Coturnix japonica: one gene and its partners. The protein of the gene in region 1 interacts with the protein of each later gene in a pairwise test. Links are inferred from orthologs where the notes say so. Each region holds a gene or a part of one and is shown on either strand. Other genes may lie near its edges.

What was found.
Region 2: the proteins of TLE family member 5 (region 1) and SMAD3 interact in binary tests that used the Homo sapiens proteins (3 or more experiments, as listed by UniProt). The two-hybrid records come from large-scale screens. The link is inferred for Coturnix japonica from reciprocal best matches to the Homo sapiens genes TLE5 and SMAD3.
Region 3: the proteins of TLE family member 5 (region 1) and C23H1orf94 interact in binary tests that used the Homo sapiens proteins (3 or more experiments, as listed by UniProt). The two-hybrid records come from large-scale screens. The link is inferred for Coturnix japonica from reciprocal best matches to the Homo sapiens genes TLE5 and C1orf94.
Region 4: the proteins of TLE family member 5 (region 1) and PARVG interact in binary tests that used the Homo sapiens proteins (3 or more experiments, as listed by UniProt). The two-hybrid records come from large-scale screens. The link is inferred for Coturnix japonica from reciprocal best matches to the Homo sapiens genes TLE5 and PARVG.

What each region holds. Positions count from the first base shown.
Region 1 is NC_029543.1:644,013-649,367, reverse strand, and holds the start of TLE family member 5, read left to right. Parts: upstream 1-1,270; 5' UTR 1,271-1,496; coding exon 1,497-1,523; intron 1,524-1,736; coding exon 1,737-1,834; intron 1,835-3,221; coding exon 3,222-3,285; intron 3,286-3,920; coding exon 3,921-3,965; intron 3,966-4,621; coding exon 4,622-4,684; intron 4,685-5,355. UniProt on the Homo sapiens protein: Transcriptional corepressor. Acts as a dominant repressor towards other family members. Inhibits NF-kappa-B-regulated gene expression. May be required for the initiation and maintenance of the differentiated state.
Region 2 is NC_029525.1:17,035,726-17,041,097, forward strand, and holds the start of SMAD3 (mothers against decapentaplegic homolog 3), read left to right. Parts: upstream 1-1,842; coding exon 1,843-2,048; intron 2,049-5,372. UniProt on the Homo sapiens protein: Receptor-regulated SMAD (R-SMAD) that is an intracellular signal transducer and transcriptional modulator activated by TGF-beta (transforming growth factor) and activin type 1 receptor kinases.
Region 3 is NC_029538.1:4,085,832-4,091,169, forward strand, and holds the start of C23H1orf94 (uncharacterized protein C1orf94 homolog), read right to left. Parts: upstream 3,531-5,338; 5' UTR 3,445-3,530; coding exon 3,212-3,444; intron 914-3,211; coding exon 444-913; intron 115-443; coding exon 1-114.
Region 4 is NC_029516.1:63,626,931-63,632,380, forward strand, and holds the start of PARVG (gamma-parvin), read left to right. Parts: upstream 1-1,920; 5' UTR 1,921-2,106; intron 2,107-5,390; 5' UTR 5,391-5,413; coding exon 5,414-5,450. UniProt on the Homo sapiens protein: Plays a role with ILK in promoting the cell adhesion and spreading of leukocytes.

The DNA.
Region 1 (5,355 bases):
AGCAGCCTTTCTCTGCTCACTGGAGCACTGCAGCCTCTGCCCATGGATGGGGCTCTGCTGAGGTGCTGCTCTGGGCATGGTTTCTTCCAGCAAAGGAGAGAAGAGAAGAAGCAATGCTTTGCTGTGGGCATTGCAAGTCAAAAACTGAGCCCTGCATTGCAATGGTGGGGTCTGCACTGTGATGGTGAGCCTTGCACTGTGATACTGGGGCATGCAATGTGATGGTGAGCCCCATAATGCAATGGTGAGCCCCATATTGCAATGGTGAGTCCTGTACTGTGATAGTGAGCCCCAAATTGTGATGGTGAGCTCCACACTGCTGGGGTGCTCAGCTCCTGCAGCATCACATCAAGAACCATAAGCAATAGGTGAACAAGGAACGCCAAGGGCAGACGTGTCTGGCCCATCTGGTGGCCTCCATTGATGGCATTGGTGGACAAAGGAAGGGCACAGGCTGCAGTTGTGCAGGGCCTTTGCACGGCCCCACACTGTGCCCATTTCTCTCAATAGGAGAGAGGTGGGTTTGAAGGGTGGGCTGTTTGGTGGGTAAGGAAGTGGTTGGATGGTCATAGCTTGGGATCTGTGGTCGTGGTGGTCCTACAGACCCCCCTGCGCTGCAACTATGGGGGGGCAGAGGGCAGGGAGGGGACTGTCCCGTCTGCTCAGCCCTTGTGGGGACCCACCTGCAGTGATGCATCCAGGTCTGGGATCAGGCTGTGGGATGCTCTGAGCTCTGAGCACCAAAGATCCTCTGCTATGGAAACGTGCTGATGGAGCAGCCATGGAGGCTCCGGGGAGACCTCACTGCAGCCCTCCAGTACTTGGGGAGGGGGCTTACAGGGAGGAGGGGGAGTGACTTTTACCTGCCTGATAGCAATATGGTGATGGGGAGAACTGGATGCCCTTTAAGGCCGACCCCACTCTAAGCCCTTCTCGCACCCACGATGCCCGCAGCAGGTGCGGGGCTCTGGGACACAGCGCAGACCCCAGACCCACGGAGGGTCCCACGGAGCGGGGTCTGAGCGGCACCGGGTCGGGATGGGTGGGCGTGGGGGGGGCAGAGCATCACGGCTGGGGGGGGTAGGAAGGAATTGGGGGGGGGGGGGCAGCTGGGCGCCCCCCCCCCCCCCGATCCCGGGGGGGGGGGGGGGGGGCGAGGGGGGGGGGGGGGGGGGAATTGGGGGGGGGGGGAGCAGCTGAGCGCCCCGCACCGCCCGGATCGCGGCGGGGGCGGAGACGGCCGTGGGCCCGCCCGGCCCGGGGAGGCGGCGGCGGGGCGGCAGGTGGTGCCGAGCAGCCGCAGGACGGAGCGGATCGCAGCCGCCATTAGACAATAGGCGGCGGCTCGGGGCACAGCGGCGCGGGGCGGCCGCGGGGCCGGGCCCGGCGCGGACAAAGGCGGACGGGGAAAGAACGGAACGGAGCGGAGCGGAGCGGAGCGGAGCGGAGCGGGGCGAGGGGACCGCTGCGGGCGGTGGAACGGGCTGCAGCCTGACATGATGTTTCCACAAAGCCGACACTCGGTACGGCGGCACCGGGAGGAGCGAGGAAGGAAGGAAGGAAGGAAGGAGGGAAGGACGGGGGGGAGCACCGAGAGCCGCCCCCTGCCCGCCCGCAGCCACCGGGAACCGGAGCGGGGGGTGCGGGTGACCTTGGGCGGCGGCGGGCTGCGGTGGGGGGGCGGGCAGGGCTGCGGGCCCCCCATTGGGTGTGCAGCGCTGTGTGTGTTGTTCAAGGGCTCCTCTCACCTGCCGCAGCAGCTCAAGTTCACCACCTCCGACTCGTGCGACCGCATCAAGGACGAGTTCCAGCTCCTGCAGGCCCAGTATCACAGGTACGTGCCGGTACCGCCCCCACCGACCGCCCCGAGCATCCCGGGGGGGTCCGCAGTGCGCCCGGAGCTGGGATCCTCCGCTTTGGCATCGCTGCCCTGCACGGACCGGGACGCAGCGTGGCCAAGAGATGGGCTCCGTGCGGCACGACGCGCTGCCCTCCCAGCCCAGCACAGGTTTACCCCCAGGCTCAGCCTCCCCAGGCCGGTATCACCTCCAGGTCCCACCTGGAGGACCGATGTGAGCATCCCAAGGAGGGGGGGGGGACGCCCGGTGTGCACCCATTGCTGCCTTCCTTTCCTTTGGCCACGCAGTTCGGCCCAGAGTTGGCCAAAAGCTGCAATCCAGGCAGGGAACGCTCTGCTCACTGCCCAAAAGGTGGGATTCTGGAAGGAGAAGGAAGGAGAACGCTCTGCCTCCCCCACAGCCAGGTCTTACCCCAATGCAGGACTCCATGCACAGCTCTTCCATCCCTCCATCCATGCACAGCTCTTCCATCCCTCCATCCATGCACAGCTCTTCCATCCCTCCATCCCTGTGCAGCTCTTCCATCCCTCCATCCATGCACAGCTCTTCCATCCCTCCATCCCTGTGCAGCTCTTCCATCCCTCCATCCATGTGCTGCTCTTCCATCCCTCCATCCCTGTGCAGCTCTTCCATCCCTCCATCCCTGTGCAGCTCTTCCATCCCTCCATCCATGTGCTGCTCTTTCATCCCTCCATCCATGTGCAGCTCTTCCATCCCTCCATCCATGTGCAGCTCTTCCAGCCCTCCCTCCTCTCGCTGGGAGTTTTCCTCCCCTCTCCCTGCTGGCTGCCATTCTTGGCTCACAAATGCTGCAGGGAGCACTTAAAGCCAAATGCTTCCGCTTTTCCGCCTGCGGAATGGCTTCTGCTGACCCAAAAGCTGGCTGCCGATGGGCTCTCTTGCTGTTTGCTTCCTAGCTGCACGCATGCACCAAACCATTGCTCCGTGTGTTGCCCTTTCCCTATTGCTCCCACCTCCCCGAGCTCTGCATCGTGCAGCATTGTGGCCCCCCCTTGCAGGACCCGATCTGCTCACAGAGCAGCAGGTTTGGTGGAGGTGAAGCTGTTTCTTGTTTGAAACATAAAACCAGCACATGCTGCTTGCAGCTGCCGGGCTGGGGAGCTGCACAGAGCACAGCGAGCAGCACGTCTGCTCTTAAGGGTGCAAAGAACCCAAAGGAAAGGGGGAAAAGGCATCATTCCAGAGGCCTGCACTGCACCTGGGCTTCCCCAGTATAGGAGGATCTGGTTGCTTTGCTGAGCTGCACTGGGCACACAACAGGCTGGGATGGACCCTGCAGGATGCAACCCAGGATGCAACCCGCTGCCCTGCTGCTTCTCTCACTGCTTTCTGCCTTTGCAGCTTGAAGTTGGAATGCGACAAACTCGCCAGCGAGAAATCGGAGATGCAGCGTCACTACGTCATGGTGAGGAGCTGCCGGGGCAGCGCGTGGGTGGGGAGCAGGTGCTGCTGCTGCTGGGCTCGTGCAAACGGGGCTCCTCGTGCACACAGGGCTCCTCGTGCAAACAAACAGAGCTCCTCGTGCTCTGCACCCTGTGTGTGTGCTGGGTCGGTGGGTGCAGGATGGACATGCAGGGTGTGAGCAGGGAGCTGCTGTCTGTGTGCAGAGCTGCTCTGCTGCTTGAGCAAACTTGGAGTGCTCAGGAATTGACTTCCCGTGCCAATAGCTTGCACTGGAGCTGCCTGTTGTGTGAGGGGGGTGGGTTATTTTGCGTGTGTGTTTCCTGCAGCTCCTTCCCAAGCAGCTGGAGCTGTGTGCAGCTGGAGCACAGGGCTGAGCCCTTCCATTTGCTGCCGGAGCAGCCACGTGGGCGTTAGGAGATGGGCCAGGCACAGCAAACAGAGCCGGGCTGTGCCTGTTCCCAGCAGAGCACTGAGCTCTCCCTGTGATGCCAGGGCTCTGTGAAGGTGCTGAGTGGGCTCTGGGTTAGTTGAGGTCCCACCTGGGCTGGGGGCAGCAGGAAGGTACAGATGTGGGGGTCTCTTTGCATGCTGGAGTCCTCATCGTGTCTGTTTGTTCTCTTCTTCCCCACTCCGCAGTACTACGAGATGTCCTACGGGCTGAATATTGAGATGCACAAACAGGTATTGGGGGGGGTGGGCTGCCTGCTGTGCCTTCTGTCCCTTCAGTGGCATTTCAGGATGTCAAACGTCAGCACTGATTTTGGGATCTCCAGCTCTGGCATTGGGGAGCACCTTCACATTTTTTCCACCCCATGACCTTATAAAAACGTCTTTTCATGCAGGGAGGGGAAAAAAAAATAATCATTGTGGCCATGAGCTGCTTTTCCAAACCCTTCTGGAAGGGGGGACCCGGCTGGGGGTGCTCTGGCTCTGAGCTGGGCTGGGTGCAGTCAGTGCTGGGCACCTCGTGGTGGAGGCTCTGCTGTAGCCTGGCTGAGTCTGCCTGTTCCCCTTGCTGGTGGTTCAGCTGCTCAGGATCTGCAGTGGTTAATTACCTGCTGTTCACAACGTGAGCTCCTTGAGCTCTCGGTCACGGTTATCTGAACGTGTCCCAGCTCAGCTCAAAGCCTCTTAGCGCCGTTCTGCTCCCTTCAAACACACCCAGAGCCTCTGATCCCATCACCTCGGGAGGGAAATCTATTGGCTGAGCTGCAGGACTTGAGCCGTGGCTCCTCACTGCCATCTCCCAGTGTTTGCCTAAACCAGGTGCTGTGGGTCCCCTCACACTATTCCTCTCTGTTGTTTGTTTCTTGGTTTCTTTTTCTTCCCCTCTCCAGGCTGAAATTGTCAAGAGGCTCAATGGGATCTGTGCGCAGGTTCTGCCCTACCTTTCACAGGAGGTAACTGCCAAACCACCCAACTTGGAGGCTCTATAAGCAGCCCTGGGGTGCCCATGCCCTGATTCCTCCCCACCCGTGCCTGCTCCATGCAGGATGAGCCCTTCAGGAGAGGTTGGAGCCCACAGCTCAGCCCCCAGGCCATGCTGGGACTGGTGGGTCAGTCTGTCTGTCTGTCCGTCCCCTTTGTGGGGCAGCTGCAGACAAACTGGACTCTGTTCTCACCCCGCTCCCGTGACTCCCAGCTGCTTCTGGCCGGGTGCAGGCAGTGGTGGATGGCTGAACATTAAAAACTGCCTCCATATGGTTCCTGGAGACCAGGTTCCTCTGCCTCATTAATTAATGTGGCTCATGGGCTCCTCCCACTCCCTTGAGAAATTAATTGGGAGGGCTGTGGGGAGGGAGGGAGCTGCTGGAGCACCCTCAGTATGATGTCTGTCTGTCTGTCTGTCTGTCTGTCTGTCTGTCTGTCTGTCTGTCCGTCCTTGTGCTGCCCCTCAGGCTGAGTCCTGCAGTGACTGTTCAGGGGCTGTGGGGTGGGGGCCTGTGTTTTGGGGCCTGGATAAGCTGGGGGGGGAGCAGGCCATGCTGTTGCTGCCCGGCTGCTCTGGGGGAAGGCAAAGTGGCTTGCTGAGCAGATCAGAGGTGGCTGATAACTAAGCCCCAGCTAAACC
Region 2 (5,372 bases), on another chromosome or scaffold:
CACCAGCCACTGTCAGTAAGAAAACTGGGCATCCTGCTCTTAGAGTTATTAGTGACAACATTTTGTTGCATTGTTTTAGAGGTGCTGAGGAACTGTTTCCCCAAGCAATGTTGGGATCCTCTATGGGGGCTCCACGTCTCTGTACTTCAGGCATCCCAATCGAAGCAGCCAAAAACTGGGTCAAGGCAATGCTCCAAAATTTTAGTGGTGAGCCTCCAAAATTCAAGACACTCGGGGAATGTGTGTTGGGAATAATATGAGAGCAATGGGGGAAAAAAATGATGGAGAAAGAGTGTTTAATTTGTACCAAATATTGATATTTCAGAAGTTGGTACTGTCAGTTTGGAACAAAGGGCACTGTCTGTTTTTAAACCCCTTGTGAAAGTCAGGCCAGTTGCCTTTGAGCATCAGACGCTGTCTGAACCCATAGGTTCCTAACTTGCCACAAGGCAATCCGTATAGCTGGCTGCTTTGAATCTGTACACACAGGGAATTTTGGATGCTGGCTTTCGAGGAGTCTCCCCACTGGGTTGTACTGGAACCTGGAACTGGAGAACGTGGGTTGGCAAGAGCTGTAGGTGTCTGGGAGCTGCCGAGCAGCCCCGGAGGCTTCCCAGATTCCGCTCCCCATCATCCCGTCTGGGAGGATGGAGGAAGCTGGGAAGCATTTCTCAACTCAAAACCTCAGAATTTGGGCCTTGAAACTTTCACCCCCTGTTCCTGGATGGCTGTTGCGTGCAGCTGGAGCGCAGAAAAGCGAACTGGCCTCGGTGGAGGCACCCGGTGACTCTGCAGGTGGCCCCAGGCTGCTGTGTGCTGCTCAGCATCGTTTTGGGGCGATTTACCACAGGATCGGAGCACTGAGGAGCTGCTGTTTGTATCTGGGTGGGCTCCCTTTCAGCATGAGGGGGCAATGCTGGAGGCCGGGCAGCGGCCCTGTCTGCCCAGCAGTGGAAAGGGAGGAGCTGGGCATTCACCTGGATGCCGTCCTGAGTTAGTGCAAAACAAGAGCCTCTCTGCAAAGCACCTAGAGCTGAACACACAGCGGCTCAATGACCAAAATGTTCCGTCTGAGAATTTCTGACCAGGTCTGGTGGTAAACAGGCTCAAACGACACACTGGAGATGATACAGGGCGAAAATTATTCGGGTCCCCAGTCTGCAGAGTGGGAGGATGAAGGAAGAGAACAGTAAATTGAAGGAGTTGAAACTGCTGATTGTCCAAGGCTGACTGAGCGGTGCTCAGCTGCGTGGAAAGACGTGCGGCACTTGTTTGTGTTATTTTTCTTCCTTTTTCCACAGAAAACAGCCAGGGCTGAGGGTCCCCACGCTGAGGGGGCCCTGAGGGTCGCGCTGTGAGGTGGGAAGGCCGCGCCGCTCAGGGGACGCCTTTCCCGGCGCCGTAGCGGGGCTGAGAGCGGAGAGCCGAGAGCCGAGGGGCCCCAGCCCCGAGCGAGGAGGGGGGAGCGGAGTTCCCGGCGGGCCGGCCGCCTCCCCGCCCTCCCCCGGCGGCGTGAGTGAGCGTGTTTGGGAGGGAAGGAGGGGGTGGAAGCCGGGCCGGGGCGGCCAGCAGGCAATTTGCATGAGAGACAGACTGGGAATGAGCTGGAGTGGGCGCCTCTCCTCGCACACAGAGCGGGGCAGGAGGGGGAGGAGGAGGGAGCTGCCGCCGCCGCCGCCGCCGGAGAGAGGCGGCGAACTCCGGGCAAAGTTTGGTGCCGCGGCCCCGAGGCGCTGAAGGCGGCGGAGCGGAGCGGAGCGGGGCCGGGCTTTGTGCTGCCCGCGGGGCCTGCGCGGCGCGGAGCGGAGCAGGGGGCGGCGGGGCGCTGCCGGCAGAGCCAGCATGTCCTCCATCCTGCCGTTCACCCCTCCCATCGTCAAACGGCTCCTGGGCTGGAAGAAAGGAGAGCAGAACGGGCAGGAGGAGAAATGGTGCGAGAAGGCGGTGAAGAGCCTGGTGAAGAAGCTGAAGAAGACGGGGCAGCTGGACGAGCTGGAGAAGGCGATCACCACGCAGAACATCAACACCAAGTGCATCACCATCCCCAGGTAGCGGCGGGGCCGACGGGCCTGGGCGCCCGCTGCGCCCATCCGAGAGAGTGCGGTTACACGGAGGAGAAAGTGGCGGCGGGTGGGAGCGCTGTGTAATAACGGGAGAGGGAGAAAGTGCGAGGGGATGAGGGCAGAAAATAGGGCTGAGATGAAGAGAAAAAGTTGTGGATAACAGCTCTGCGTGTTGTGGGTACTCGTGGTCAGAAGTTTCAGCGTGTTCTCCGGCGTTGTTAGGGGAAGATTTGTTTATTTTTGATAAACTATAAGCAAAATGGTTTGTTTGGGTCGCTTGCTTGTTTCCATGTTAGCTGGACAGACGAAGAGGTGATTGAGAGCCCTGCTGTGTGTGTGTTTTCCAATCGCTTTTTAGATTGGGAACACAAATGGCATTGCTGAAGGGGATTGTTCCAAAGGGTGAATATAACCCATGTGCATACATACTAAATGTTGTGTTAACGTAGATTTTATTTTTAGCCTTCATTTTGAGCTCTTTGAGCCCATTGTAAATCATGAAGGACGTGTGTGTAAGTATCCCATCAAAGGAAAATCCTGCCCGTAACTTTCAGATCTAGCTGGCCACAGGCGGTGCTTTATTGCTGAGGGTTTGTTGATTTCAGTGTGCGGGGCCAGATGACTGCTGGGGCTGGTATTGGTCGTTGTTTGAGGGGCACTTTTTTGGTTGTTGTTTGAAACACGGGCCAAAGTTCATTCCAAATATTTGAATGCTGCATAATTGTGTGCTTCTGCGTGAGAAGATAGCTGTGTGTGTGTATTCATGCTCCTCTCTCGCGCAAACAAATGTATGCTTTCTTGGTTGTCAGAATGATTTAATATGCAGTAGCTAATACAAAGCAGCATCTGTTGCATGAAGAAGTGAAGCAAGTAGCTTAGAAATGTGGGCATTTAGAACTCTGAAATTTTTCTTCCAGTGACTGTAGGGCTTGGGTTTTGTTTTTCTTTTTCTTTTTTCTGTTGTTCTGGCTTTTGTTTTTTTCAACAACAAAAAAGAATTCTCCTGATATTCTAGTGCTGAATGACCGTGGCTGAGATTTTACACTGATACAACCAGCCCCTCGCCTTTATTAGTTAGAGTTATTCAGGCTTCCTCTTCTAGCTGAAGAAGGGAGCTACGCGTGCAGAGCTGCCCCTGGTAACAAACGTAATATAACCTCTATTTTGAAATTCTTGGTAAGCAGTGTGGATCCCTCACAGATAGTGCCCTATCTAAACCACTTCCCTTAAATACCTCTTCGGAAGAAGAAAATGACTTGAGCAGCCCTGCTGATATGACTCTGGTACTGTGCCTCATTGCTGATGAACAGAGCATGAAGCCTGTGGATGATTCTTTTACTAGCAACAAGGTGTTGTAGCGTAAGGGAGGGAGAGTTTGGTATTTTGTGATTCAAAGGAAGCAAAGAGATGGGTGCAATAGGATGCTTCAGTTGAGCAAAATAATTGTGAAGCTGTAAAATAAGTAACAATGCGAGCAGATGTCACAAGTCGTAAATATTATCACCTCCAGAGATGGTCCTGGAAGAGCCTGCTGTGCAGAAGCTAATGCTTCTCATAGACTGTGCTCAGCTATAAGAAAACCATGCAGGAATTATAACATTTCATACCCACTTGTAATGCAGAGTCTGGATCCTGTATGTCCTAAACCTCGCTGCTTGGGGAGTATCAGCATATTTTGACACCAGCTCCTTTGGTCTTAGTACTAGATTTTTAGAGTAACACTTCCTGTGTACATTTGGTATTGTTTAATACAGGCATTACAAAGGTGCAAGTGGTGGTTGTTAAGTTACTTTGTTCTGGGCCCTCAGCAGCAGCACAGTGAGGGGTTGATACTTAGGTATCGGAGAATGGGGGTGGTGGCAAAGCTGGAGCAAGGTCTGTGACTTTGGGCTGTGTCCTCTCCTCTGGGCTGTGCTGTTTGTCCTGACGTATCTACAAATCTGGTCACCCTGTCACTCCAAATTAGCATTTTCAGGACAATTCTAGTGTGGTTTCAGTATTTTCTTTAAAGTTAATGCTTCGTATCTTGTTTTATTAGTTAGGTAAGTAAGTATGTTGAAGGGAGGCGAAAGGGGAAAAAACATCATTAAGGATTAGATCATGGTGTGCATTGTCTGTAATGCATCAGTAGGCTGAATTACGGTGGAGCCATGCCAGCGATGACTCTGGCCCAGCAGGAGTAGGGTAAGTCCAAAATTAGCTATTGTATCCATGAGACACAGCAAGTTTCAGATGTAAAAGTGCTCAAGCTTTGCAGGAACATTGCTTGTGGGACTAAGGGCTGTGCAGCAGATGAGCTGACAGCTTCAGGTTCCTGTAGCGACAAGGTGAGGCTGAATGCACAATTTAAGAAAGAACAAGGAAAATGAATACGTCATACACGAATTTTTGTTGTAGGACTGTGGAATTAGAAGGCCAAATTTGTTCCTGTTGTCACTTCTATGTGATGAATTAGTTCACAGATGGATTGGCAGACACACCTCCAAGCCCAGGTTCCAGTTGGAAGGACAAGTGGCATACAGCAGAAGGCTGGAGAGACCCTCATGGTTCTTAGCAGAGCTGTTGGCAGGATTCTTTCCTTTTTGTTTTCTTTTCCTGCTGGAGCAGGAAACAATTTCCACCTGAAAGACCTCAGACCACCGGCTTGCTTCATGTTTCCAGTGCCTGGCAAAAGGGTTTGTTAGAGGGCTGTGTGCTGGAGCACTGCTGCTCTGCGGTCCGTGCTGCTGCACATGGGAGCTGCCTGTAAACCTGTGTGTGCTGAGCTTTGGTGCTGGGAGCTGACCTAGTGAGGTGTAGCAAGCTATGTCTGCATAGCAGCGAGGTAACTCTTCATAGTTCTGCATACAGTGATAAAATCACACATTGGTTGGACTATTAAAATATATCCTTTGTAGTAGTTGCATTGATCTTGAAAGCCCAGCTCTTAGGATGGCCATTTTTACTGCTTTTTGGACAAGGCTAAGGATGGAGTTCTGTTAGTACATACCCCATCACATCCAGGTGTTTGAGTTTATGGCCTCTCTGCTTTGCTCTGTGATCAAGCTTAGATCTATTCCAGCTGCTATCAGATGTTTTGAAGTTTTGATAGCTCTCTCTGCTTCTCAGACCAGATTGTGGTGAGCTGGGAATTTGCTGGCAGCAAACCTGACAGCTGGCATTACCTGCAGAACATGAATGCATCCCTGTGGACTTCGTGCCTGGGTGAAGAGCAGTGAGTTCGTGGTGCTATTTCTGACCTGAAGAGAGGCCATGCTGTGCTCTTGGCAAACCATGAGCGTTTTTCCATAGAAATAGTGCATTAGCCTG
Region 3 (5,338 bases), on another chromosome or scaffold:
GACTCGGCCACATTGGCTGGTTTAAGTTTGTGGTGGTTGTAGTAACGGGAAAGTGTGGATTGGAAGTGCTGGCATTGTATATAACTATTTTTTTATCCAGTGCTGCAGTAGTTACTGTAAAACAAAACAAGGGTGAAGATAATTAAGCATTCCCTTCATTAAACCATGAAGCACTTGCAGCTAAGGGGATGCACTCCCTGTGAGCAAAGTGTTTAAGATGCTTTTGCAGGCTGTATTTCTGGAGACCCATGCTTAGAAATGAGCAGATCAGATTCACATGTAAGGCCATTAAACCCCAACCCACAGGACCTGGAATGAAGTTAATCTCCTGAGCTGTAAGAATGACTGGAATGGGGCAAAAGATTCTTGTTTTGAGCTCTGTAAGAACAAAACTATCTGAGACCAGGAAATTAGCACAGAAGAAACTGTGTCCTGATCCATACCTGGATTCTGCAGTGCCTTTGTGGCTGCATTGGAGTCAGGTCTGGAGCAAATCTTGGCAAGTGTTGGGAGCTGCTGCTTCTGTCCTGCAGTTTGACTTTCTGCCATCAGAGCTGGCACAGCTGTGCTATTCTTTGCAGCACTGACAGTGCCATTCTGGAAGAACTCTTTCATTGTCTTGCTTTCCTCAGCCATGAGTTGCCTGTCTGGACCTTTGGCAATATCTGTGTGCTTCAGCAGCAATGGCATCCCCAGCTTGTTGCCCTCTGTGCTACCAGCACCTGTTGTGCTGTTGTCCCCCAACCCCTTGGAGATCCTGGGAGAGCTTGTTGAACGCAGGAGGTTGGTGATGGTGGATTTAGCAGAAAGCTGAGCATCGCAGAGAGCTCTTAATTTCATCTCTCTTTCTCTGTTTCCAATCACTGCTCTGTATATGCTCTCAAGTCCCTCTGTTTCATCTAGCAACCAGTCCCTGTAAGAATGTGAAATATAGGGATTCTGTTGAGAGCTTGACATTAGATTGAACTCATTTTCTTGACTGCTTCTATGCCTTGCATTTCTGTTTCATTTATGCTCCGTTTAAGCCTCGAGTATTCCTTCTCAACCGGAATGAAACCTACCTCCAGGACACTGTTCTTCTCCAAAGAACCACATAAAATGGGAAAATTAAAACAAAATCTGAACTTAACACACCTATTTGGGAATAACTGAAGTTGGGTGATGGCGTTTCAGACTGGAAGCCATGAAGTCCTCTAGGACTTACAGTGGGGTGGCTGCCAGGGCTGAACAATGCTGTGTCTCTAAGGCACAACTCAGTGTTTGTAGTGGTTCCCTACTCAAAATCCTCCTTTAAATTCCACGTTGCTCTTTCACAGCCAGGTATGTTCAATAACTTAACGTATCATCCATTTACTCTCCTCAGCTTGAGGGGAAGTGATGCTCTGTGCATGCACTGTACAGATACATATATAGTACATAAATGGATTGCTAATATTAGTGAAATCTGGATAGTTAAATGTAGCTAATTATCTCTAATCATAGGATCACCATAATTGGCAGGATGCTGCTTTATCTCCCTATTTTTAAAGAACAGATACCTTAAAATCCTCAACAAACCTATACTATGGGCATAAAAATAGAAAATTGCTGTCATTTCCAAAGAAAGCTTATTTTCTACAATGCTTTATCCCATCTTTCACTGGGATTCCTCTCTCCATTGGTGGTTGCAGCCACCTCCGAGGCTGGAGGTGGACACCTGACCTCACCTGTAGGGATTTTAAGGAAGTTCCCTTGAATTCTGTACAGCGATTTGGTTTCATTGCTTCAGGTTTGGTATTTTTGGAAGGTTCATTGACTCAGGGGGGTGTCTTTGAATAGCTGGTGAGCAATGAACTGCACTGTGTGAGTGTATGCTGAGGGCACTTCTTTGCTGAAGAGCCTGTTTGCTGAATGCAGGGAAATGCTGCTGGCAGAAAGGGTCAGAGCAGCTGCCCAAAGTAACTCAAAGATCAGCAGGAGAACAATGAATCATTTCTCTGACCCTGAGGAAGGTGCTTTAGCCACTGCGCTTTGCTGGCTGTTTAATTTCATCTTAGTTGGAGGTGTTGAGTTTGTTACAGGTCCTTGCTGGTTGTCCCAAATCGTTCTTATCTGCTTCCTCAACCCCATTACAGTGGCGTGAGGGTGGGCTGCAGGGTGGGCTGCTCTCACTGCATTAGATTAATTGCTAAAAACTGAACCTATATATTTCTAATGGTGGCTTTGCTTATGTCGTTTAATAGTTCACAGTGGTTTATACCTTATCTCTTTGCTTGGACTTCCAAGCAGCTGGCATGACCAAGTTACGTGGCTGAGCTTGTGCTAATTGTCAAGATGTTTCAGCAGCATAAGTTGACCTGCTGCTGTAGGCCAGTGCAAGTCCATTGGCTTCACTGGTTATTCTTGGGTTGTTTGGTTTCACTTTGTGCATTTATTCTAGGCCAGTTATTACTGTTATTGTTATGGATATGGAAGGGAAAGGAAAGGAGTCAGGGCTCCAAGATGTACTCCCTGGGTTTCACAGTGACACAGCATAGGGCATTTCCCCTTCTGATCCTCCACGTCTTCAGCTAAAAGCATCGAATTATCAGCTTTCTCAATCTGTGATGTTAGTCTTAAAAGATACGACAGCTGTTTTTCACTGTATCAGGCAAGATGTGTGACTTAGGCTTTAAGAAGTGGACACGAGCTAATAACTTGCTGATTGATAGCTGGACATGTAAATTTCACTCTTTTTCTACTTCAGGAGCATACAGTAAATATTATCCCATTAATCTGAAGAGCATCCTTCCCTCCCTTATCACCATTTGTCCCGCAGAACATGATTTGGCATAATTTTTTCTGTGCTAAATTCAGCTTCTCTTTGTAAAGATCAGCTGTTTACAGTAGCTTCCTTATAACACTTTAATTTTCGATTTTGTTCCTTTTGAATGCTGCTTTCACTTCTTCCTGTAAATATTTTGATGTGTGTGTAGTTGTTTTGCTTTAAATGTTGTGGGGAAGCAAAAGCAGCAGCTGCTTGTGGTGCTTCAGATTTTCAAGTAGCTGGCTTTCATGGGACAAGCTCTCCCAAAAAGACTGGTTATATTGGGACAAATGGGGATACTCTGTCCCATTAAGAGGCTGCCCAAAGCCAACACAGCACCCCTGTGCTCCAGCTCTCTGTTTCTAGGGGTTATGAGGGCTCTGTTGGAGTCAAGCCCCTTGTCCTGCAGTGCTGGTGGTCACTCACCCGCTGTGGGCACCGTTCTTGCTCCATGGGGGTCCCTGTGGGTCCATGCAGATGATGGGCTGAAGCTCCTCGGGGGGGCTCTGCATCCGTTTCCAGATCTCATGGCAGGCCTTGTCCAGCCCGTCTTGGGGCGTGTTGTCGTGGATCCAGATGTGCCGTGGGTATGGCCCCAGTGGGAACGGCCCCTCTGATTTCACTGCTGGGGCTGCAAACCCATTTATGCTGGTGAGCATCCTTCAGCCTCTATGCATCCAGGCTATCTTCTTGAGTGGTGTTTTGTTTACATGGCAAACGGAAAGAAGAGCCGTGGCAACCACGGAACGCCAGGTCCTGGCAGTTGATAACTGAAATATCTGCTTGTCCTTGGCACAGCTGGGAGCTTCCCCTCTCATAAACTAGATCCCTGTCTTTCCAGGGTCAGCATTCAGCTGTCCTGCCCCCTTCTTTCTGTACTGGAGCTTTGCCTCTTCCATTTAATGCGCAGGTGATGAAGCTCCAAAGAGCGCATGGCTCTGCTCACTCATGCCTCTGCCCAGATAAATGTTATTTTCTCCCTACCAATAGTGATGATATGGTTAAGAAAGAGTAAAATGTGGTAGTTAGTAAGATGTTTTGCATTCCTATGCTGGATGACTAGTGGTGAAACTCTCTCAATTCCTGGCATAATTCCCTAAGTGTGAATGGTTCTGTGGTTCCTCATTCATCACCAAGGGTTGTGTTTGTGATCTTCATTGGGGGGAAGAGAGAAAGGAGAGTCCAAGGGACATGGGTTGGGGTTTGTGCCTGGTATTGGCATTTGTTCTATGTGCCCTTGCCAAGCTCTCGGGTTCTCAAAGTTCACTGTTTGGGCAGGGAGGAGAGATGAGTTGCAGTGATAGATGTTGGCTATGGTGATGGATTCTACGTTCATCACACTGCATTTAGCAAATAAATACTTTTTATTCTTAAAGAGAGAGTAAGCTTTCGTTGCTAGGTGTGGGGCCACGCTTAGTTGGGAGCCCTTCATTTGCAATAGGTATGGCGTTATTGCCCAGGAATAAAGTGGGACTGTGTCTCCTCAATGACTCGATTATGCTGGCTGCTTGCTCCCGGTGCGGGGCTCCAGACCTTGGCTCGGCTGTGCTCTGCTGTGTGCAGCAACCCAGTTGCATCTCCGGCTACAGCCTGGGGGTTGGGGGCCGAGGTGGATGGCTGTGTAAGGGAGAAGCGATGTATAGAGCTGTCAAGTGTGGTACCCTGTTCTGTGATCCTTTTCGATTTGGATCCGTGCCTTTGAACAATAAGGTCTATTTGAATAGGACACTGCAGTTTAAGCAGACATAAAGCAACTCTTTCATGTAACAGCGCTGGTTGCCTTGGCTCTTGGCATTGGCTCACAGTGTAGGCAGTGGAAGGATTCAAATGCAGAGGGGACACAGGGAAAAGGGAGCGAGAGAGAGGCTGGATCCGAGGGCGGAGGGGCAGATTTGCGAGCCCTCGATATCATTTGTTTTTAAGCTGTCAAATAAGCTCATTCAGGGCAACCGGAACGAGCCCCAAGAAGGGGGTTTTGCAGCAAAGCAACTGCAGCAAAAGCAGGGCGGGGGTTGGGGGCGGCCCCGAGCCGGGCTCGGCTGCTTCGCCCTGCTCCGTGTCGGGGGGAGATGGGGAGGATGCGAGTCTCGGTGCTGCGGGATGGGGCTGCTGCTGGCCGAGGGGTGGTCGTTGGGCAGTTGGTTGCTGGGAATTTTGGGGGGGCGGGGGGAAACGAACGACTTCTCAGGGTGTTTTTTTTTCCTTTCTGTTAAGCTGTAGTGTCACGTAGTTGTTGTTTTTCTTGTCCGCGGATCTGCGCATCATCGCCACGATAATTAAGTTCCTCACTGTATCTTTTAAAGACCGCATTTTTTTCCTCCCCCCCGTATCTTGCATGCAGCCGTAGGGACAAATGGGCTAACAGACGCTTAAAAAACAACCAACAAGGTGGGGGTTAGAGGAGGATGCTGCTCTCAGCCCGGTCCTGGGGGGGTTATGGGGGGGCTGGCTCAGCCCGTTCCATTGCCCAGGACAGGTCAGAGCCTGGGGCTGGTCCCTTTTATGTTCCGCATTTACCCAATTTTGCTTCATCACCAAAATCGTGTCAATATC
Region 4 (5,450 bases), on another chromosome or scaffold:
AATGTATTTCTTTTAAGAATTTCTTCTACATTTTTTAACAGTGTTTACTCTTGATATCTTACTAAAAACTAGTCTTGCAAATAAAATTCCGGACTTGTCACGTGTGACAAGAGTTGTGTACTGTAAGCAAGTTACAATGCAATGCTATGTTTGCTAAAGACAACAGCAGGAGTGTTGTGCATGGTTTTGTGACTGCTGTACTATTTATTCAAATAAATAAATAAATGATGATCACATGGTTTTCCACATCTTTTTTTTTCTTCGCTAAGTGGACAAATCAGAAAGATAACAGGCTTCAGCTGTCTGCTTTATCAAGGGTCCTAAATGCGTGGTGACCCATGTAGACCTAGCAAAGCAGTCTGGGAGAGCAGGAAAGTACACGATCAGAACTTGTTATTGGTTGGGGTACCACCAATTCCTTGGATTGTTCTTCAGTGGCTGTTTTCTAAGAAGCTGAGGTGTGTGCATGAGACGTGCTTTGAGAATGGATGGAAAGACTCATGGGACAAGATGCAGCTCTGGCACAGAATTTACTAGTGTAGTTCTGCAGAAGACTGGATGCTTCATGCACTGCTGATGATATTTTGGAAGAAAAATATGCCCATCCTCCATGTGTATTTGAGACTGTCCTTTGCCTTATCTTTCTCTGCATTGTGTCTGAGGCTTTTAAGAAAGAAACATGAGTTGCTAGTTGAAACAGGGAGTGACCTAATAACTACAGATCAATTTCCCATGTTTTAGTTGTTCCTACTCCCTCTGCCTGCTGATAAGAAACTATATTTCAGAAGTACAGCATTTCCATTAGTACTTCTTTTTGATTTTACTCCCTACATTTCTGGGCTGTGGCATGCACTCCTACATAGCATAGAACGTACTCTTAGTCTTTTCTGAGCTGATGAAATGTGCTTTTTTCTGCTTAGAGAATATGCTAAGTTTGTACTTCGACCACTAGACAGAATCACACAGAATCACAGAATGATTCCGGGTTGGAAGGGACCTCAAGGATCATGAAGCTCCAACCCCCCTGCCTGGCAGGGCCACCAAACACACACCTTTACTAGATCAGGTTGCCCAGGGCCCCGTCCAACCTGGCCTTGAACACCTCCAAGGACGGGGCATCCACAACCTCCCTGGGCAGCCTGTTCCAGGACCTCACCACTCTAGAAAGGTTTGGAGACTGAAGTTTTGGAGGTAAATTCTCCGTTATTAAGAATCCGTAACACCTGGGAGTCTGTTTTCATCTCACTTTCTTTCATCCTATTTAGCTCATGCAGAACTATTAGTTCTCATCTATGGTGTGGAGCTAAACACAGAAGTCAGTCCCTTAATAGTGTTAAAACAGACTGGCTTAATTAGCGTGGCTGTCTCCTGTCTTGTTCTGGGATTTCATTGAGGACTGCAGAGCTATTGCTTTTTCATTCTGGAAGACTTAACAACTGCAAGTGATACCTGGAAAAGATGTCCAGGGAAAGCAATGGCTGTGGAGAGCTTTTCCTCTTTAATCACTGGTAGAAAAGGAGAGGCAGAGTATCAGATCTGCTTAGCAGAGGTTACGCTTGTACCAGATGAGCGTCTGGGGCACTGGTGTGACTAACTGGCTGTCCAAGGACAAATGAGCTCATTTCCTTCTGCCTAGGTCCCCCTTCTGCCAGGTAGGAAGAAAAGTGCTGATCTGCCTTATAAAAAGCTTTAAGGACCATGAGTAAGAGGTGTAATGTACCATGATGATTTTATCTGTCACTGGATCTTTTATTAAAGGCAAAGAAAACATGCAGCGATGTGGACTAGCAAACGATGTGGTGCTATGAAACAAGGACAGTACCTTGCTTAATACTTTCTGGCATTTCAGGAGTTGTGAGGATGCATGCTTCCTGCATTTGTATTTCTGTTTATTGCAGTCACCAGCAGGAACTGAGCACGCAGACAATGAAGTTCCGCTTATGACTCTGCTTTCGTTTTCAAGTACTGTCAGTGCGGAGTGGTGCAGCTTCCACCACGCACAGTGTGCGTGCTTTGTGCTGCCCTGTGCAGTGGAACCGAGCCCCTGTGCAACTGCATCGCGCTGCTGTCTGAAGAGCTTCAGGAGAAATACTGAAGAATTGAATTGTAAGTTTGGGACTCTTTCAGGGGGAGTTTTGGTGTTGTTTTCTTCAGCTGTAGAGCTTCATGCTTTCGCATGGATTGTTCTTGCTGAGACAGTGTCTCTTCTGATGCCAATGACAAAATATTGCTCTTTGAAAAGCCTGATACTGAGCAAGGAAGCAAAAGTAAGTTTTAAGCTGGGTGCATGGCGCATGTTCTCTCTCTTGATTTATTCTGCTTTTTTGAAGGCAGAAGTAGTATCACCAGCCATCAAAACTGGGCTTTGTTCCCTGTTTGTGTGATCTGTTTAGAAAACTGTTCGTAGGAAATGTGCTTGTGCTGATGCAGAGCAGGGCTTTTGTCTTGTTGGGACAGGAAGTTCAGCAATTGAAACAATTTGGTAACGTCGGTGAGTGCTTGTGTATATCCAACCGTCGATTCTGATGTTGAGGACCGCGGTCCTCTCACCAGTGCTTTATATCACACATCAGGGATGATGTCAGACTGTGAGAAGACTGTGAGAAGTGAGGTGAGCTGAACTGGCTCACTAAAAGAATGAGTTGGTTTATCTGTTGTCGTTACATTGCAGCATGATGCAATGTAGTCCAGTTCTCGGCCTAGCAAAAAATTCACTCATCGGCACCACGGCAGGTGGTGCAATAGGAATACAACAGCTGTAGCTTTTAAAGTGAACAAGCTGTGACATCTCAGTAAAAGAGAACGAAGGACCGCATAAAACCATTTCGTTTGAATAGTTTACAATGTTAAAGCTCAATTTTATTAAGAAATTCCACTGTGAAATGCCACTGCAATCAATATTCAAACAGTTGTCTCCTAGAATGATCTCTCCTCCTAATAGTGATAAATAATTCATGCAGGAGGCCAGAGAAAAATAGCCTGTCAGTAACAGCTCTGGATAGTGAACTTGAGCGCTATGGGAAGTGTGGAAACTTGCAGGTGAGAATCAAATCTCCCATCCTTTCCAATTTCTCATTAAGCAATTAAACCCAAGGAGGAGTCCAGATCCCATTTTGTTCTGTTTCACGCTGTTTCTGCAGCAGGTTATCTTTTGAAAGGCCACTACCTAAGATCAAGCCTCACAGCAATGAGACTTGTCACAAGAGACTGCTGAAGTGCGCTAATTATTAGTAACGAGTAATGAGTCTATTAAATGCTAAGGAGCTGCAGTTCTTAGCCTCCGAAATGGCTTTTGGAAATCAGTGTAGGTGAACGCAAAGTGAAACATGTAGTGGGAGAACACAGTACTGATTCTACGGATAAGTGATGGGCTTAGAGCAGTGTTGGTATTTAGGAATAAGATCTTGGAGTTTTAATAGACAGTTCTGTTCACGTGTCAGCTCAATGCTCAGCAGTGATCAGTAAAGCAAACGATGATAGGAATTAGAGGAAAGGCATGCAGAACAATGCAGAGGGTATTGCGGACACCATCCTAAACCCGTGCAGTTCTGTTTCCTAGCAATTCAAATAGGATGTGGTAGCATTGGAGAAAGCTCATGGGCGGGCTGGGAAGTTCATGAGAACTAAATATTCTGACAGCACCAAATCACTAGGACTCCAGTTTTGGTTTAGAAAGGCTGAGCAGCAGGGTATTGTAGCTTGTGAGATTGTGTTAGGGAAGTAACTTGTGAACGCTTGCTTTGTTTTCTTTTTCCCTAAGCATCTGACTTTGGGTGCTGTAAGGGACAAGCAGCATCCAAATTATCTCTGATATCGGGTGAGACATTTTGTCTCACCCAGGATGGCCATTTTACCATTCTGACCAAGTGCGACACACAAGACCTAGTCCTTGGAGTGCATTAACTTTAGCTAGTGTGAATTCTTAATTTCAGACCCTTTCCTACAGGCTTCCAAATATTAAAGGTAGCTTTCTGACAAACAGATGAAAGGATGTGGCAGGCAGTATGCCTTATTTTGATGTGTAAATATCCAAAGGAAGTGCAAGGGATGTGCAAGTTGAATATTGCAGTGAAGTTGAGTTGGTAAGTTGTGGTTTATTACATAGGGCTTTAGAGTAAAACTGTCAAAGGCAAAACAAGTGCCAGAAACCTAATTTAAGTTGGACTTGAGTTTCTCTGTACTAATTACCTCTTTTCTCCTAGTTTGTCACATCTAGACAGCCTCATCTTAGATAGTTCAGTTGCTTCCCAGGCACTAAATGACTCAATTTCTCTTAAGTATCTTAGTTTATTATCCACGTTTCTAGTGACAGTGTTCAATTTTGCAGCCGTAATGACAGTAATTGCCTTGTGACTCTTTTTCCTTGGTCATTTTCTGGGCATTTTGTATCTAATTTGTTTGCAAGACCGATATACAAAAGTATTTAATTGCCACTTCCTACCAATAATCGTGGCTTGCCAAGATCAGTGTTAAAATACATGTTTGTAGTGGACTTTGACTGGAGCCTTTAATGAACACTGAGAGAGTCTGCAGAGGAGAACATTAGGAGACATCTTTGCCAGACCCTTCTTCATAGATCATTGCTGGTGGCAGTGAACTTCAGTTTGGTAGGACGTGTGGAGGGTTATACAGATCCCTGCTCCCACAGCTCCATTCCCTGCCTTCTGCTGTCCTGCACTGCTCCTAGCCATTTTAGAAAAGCCTGCCTTTAATATTGTTTGTTGGCAGGGTATTTCCATCTCTGTGTTGTGTGCTGCTGTTCTGCTTTCATTCAAAGATGGCTCGGCTGTGTAGGAAGGTCATTCTGCAGTCTCTGTGTAAAGTACAAATGGTTGAGAAGCTGTGCAGCTAAATCTAACATGAAGTTGAGGTTGTATACCCAGAAGGAAGCTGTGTTTTTTATACAACCATACCAGATGGTCTAGTAAAGGAAACTGCTTGTATTTGTAAGCTTGTGTCTAATTGAACTACTGCATTCTTGATTTAATTGTTCTTAAGTGTCGATCATTTTTATATGTATTGATATGTATTGATATCTAGAAACCGGAAGCTTTTTTTTTTTTTTAATGTAAATTGAAAAAAGATTTTACTAATTAATTCAGATGAAACAATTAGTTGGAATGAAGGCAAGTTTTTGTACGTAAGGACTTCCTTTCCTACATTCTGATTATTAACAGGAAAATTGAAGCTTATTTTTAACCTTACTTTTTTAATACACATTTAGATATTAATTTCAGATTGTTTTTAGAAGTGATCCATAAGTCATTAAATAATAACTAAAAAACCCCAACAAAACAAAAGCCCTTTCAATTGTTTTCTTCCTAACACTTAATTTGTTAGATTCATGCCTTCTTTACTTGTGTTTCCTTTCACTCTGTATCTTTTATCAGGTAACCAGGAGTGAAAAAATACAATGGACGCAGACTTCTTAAATGCATTTACACAACCTG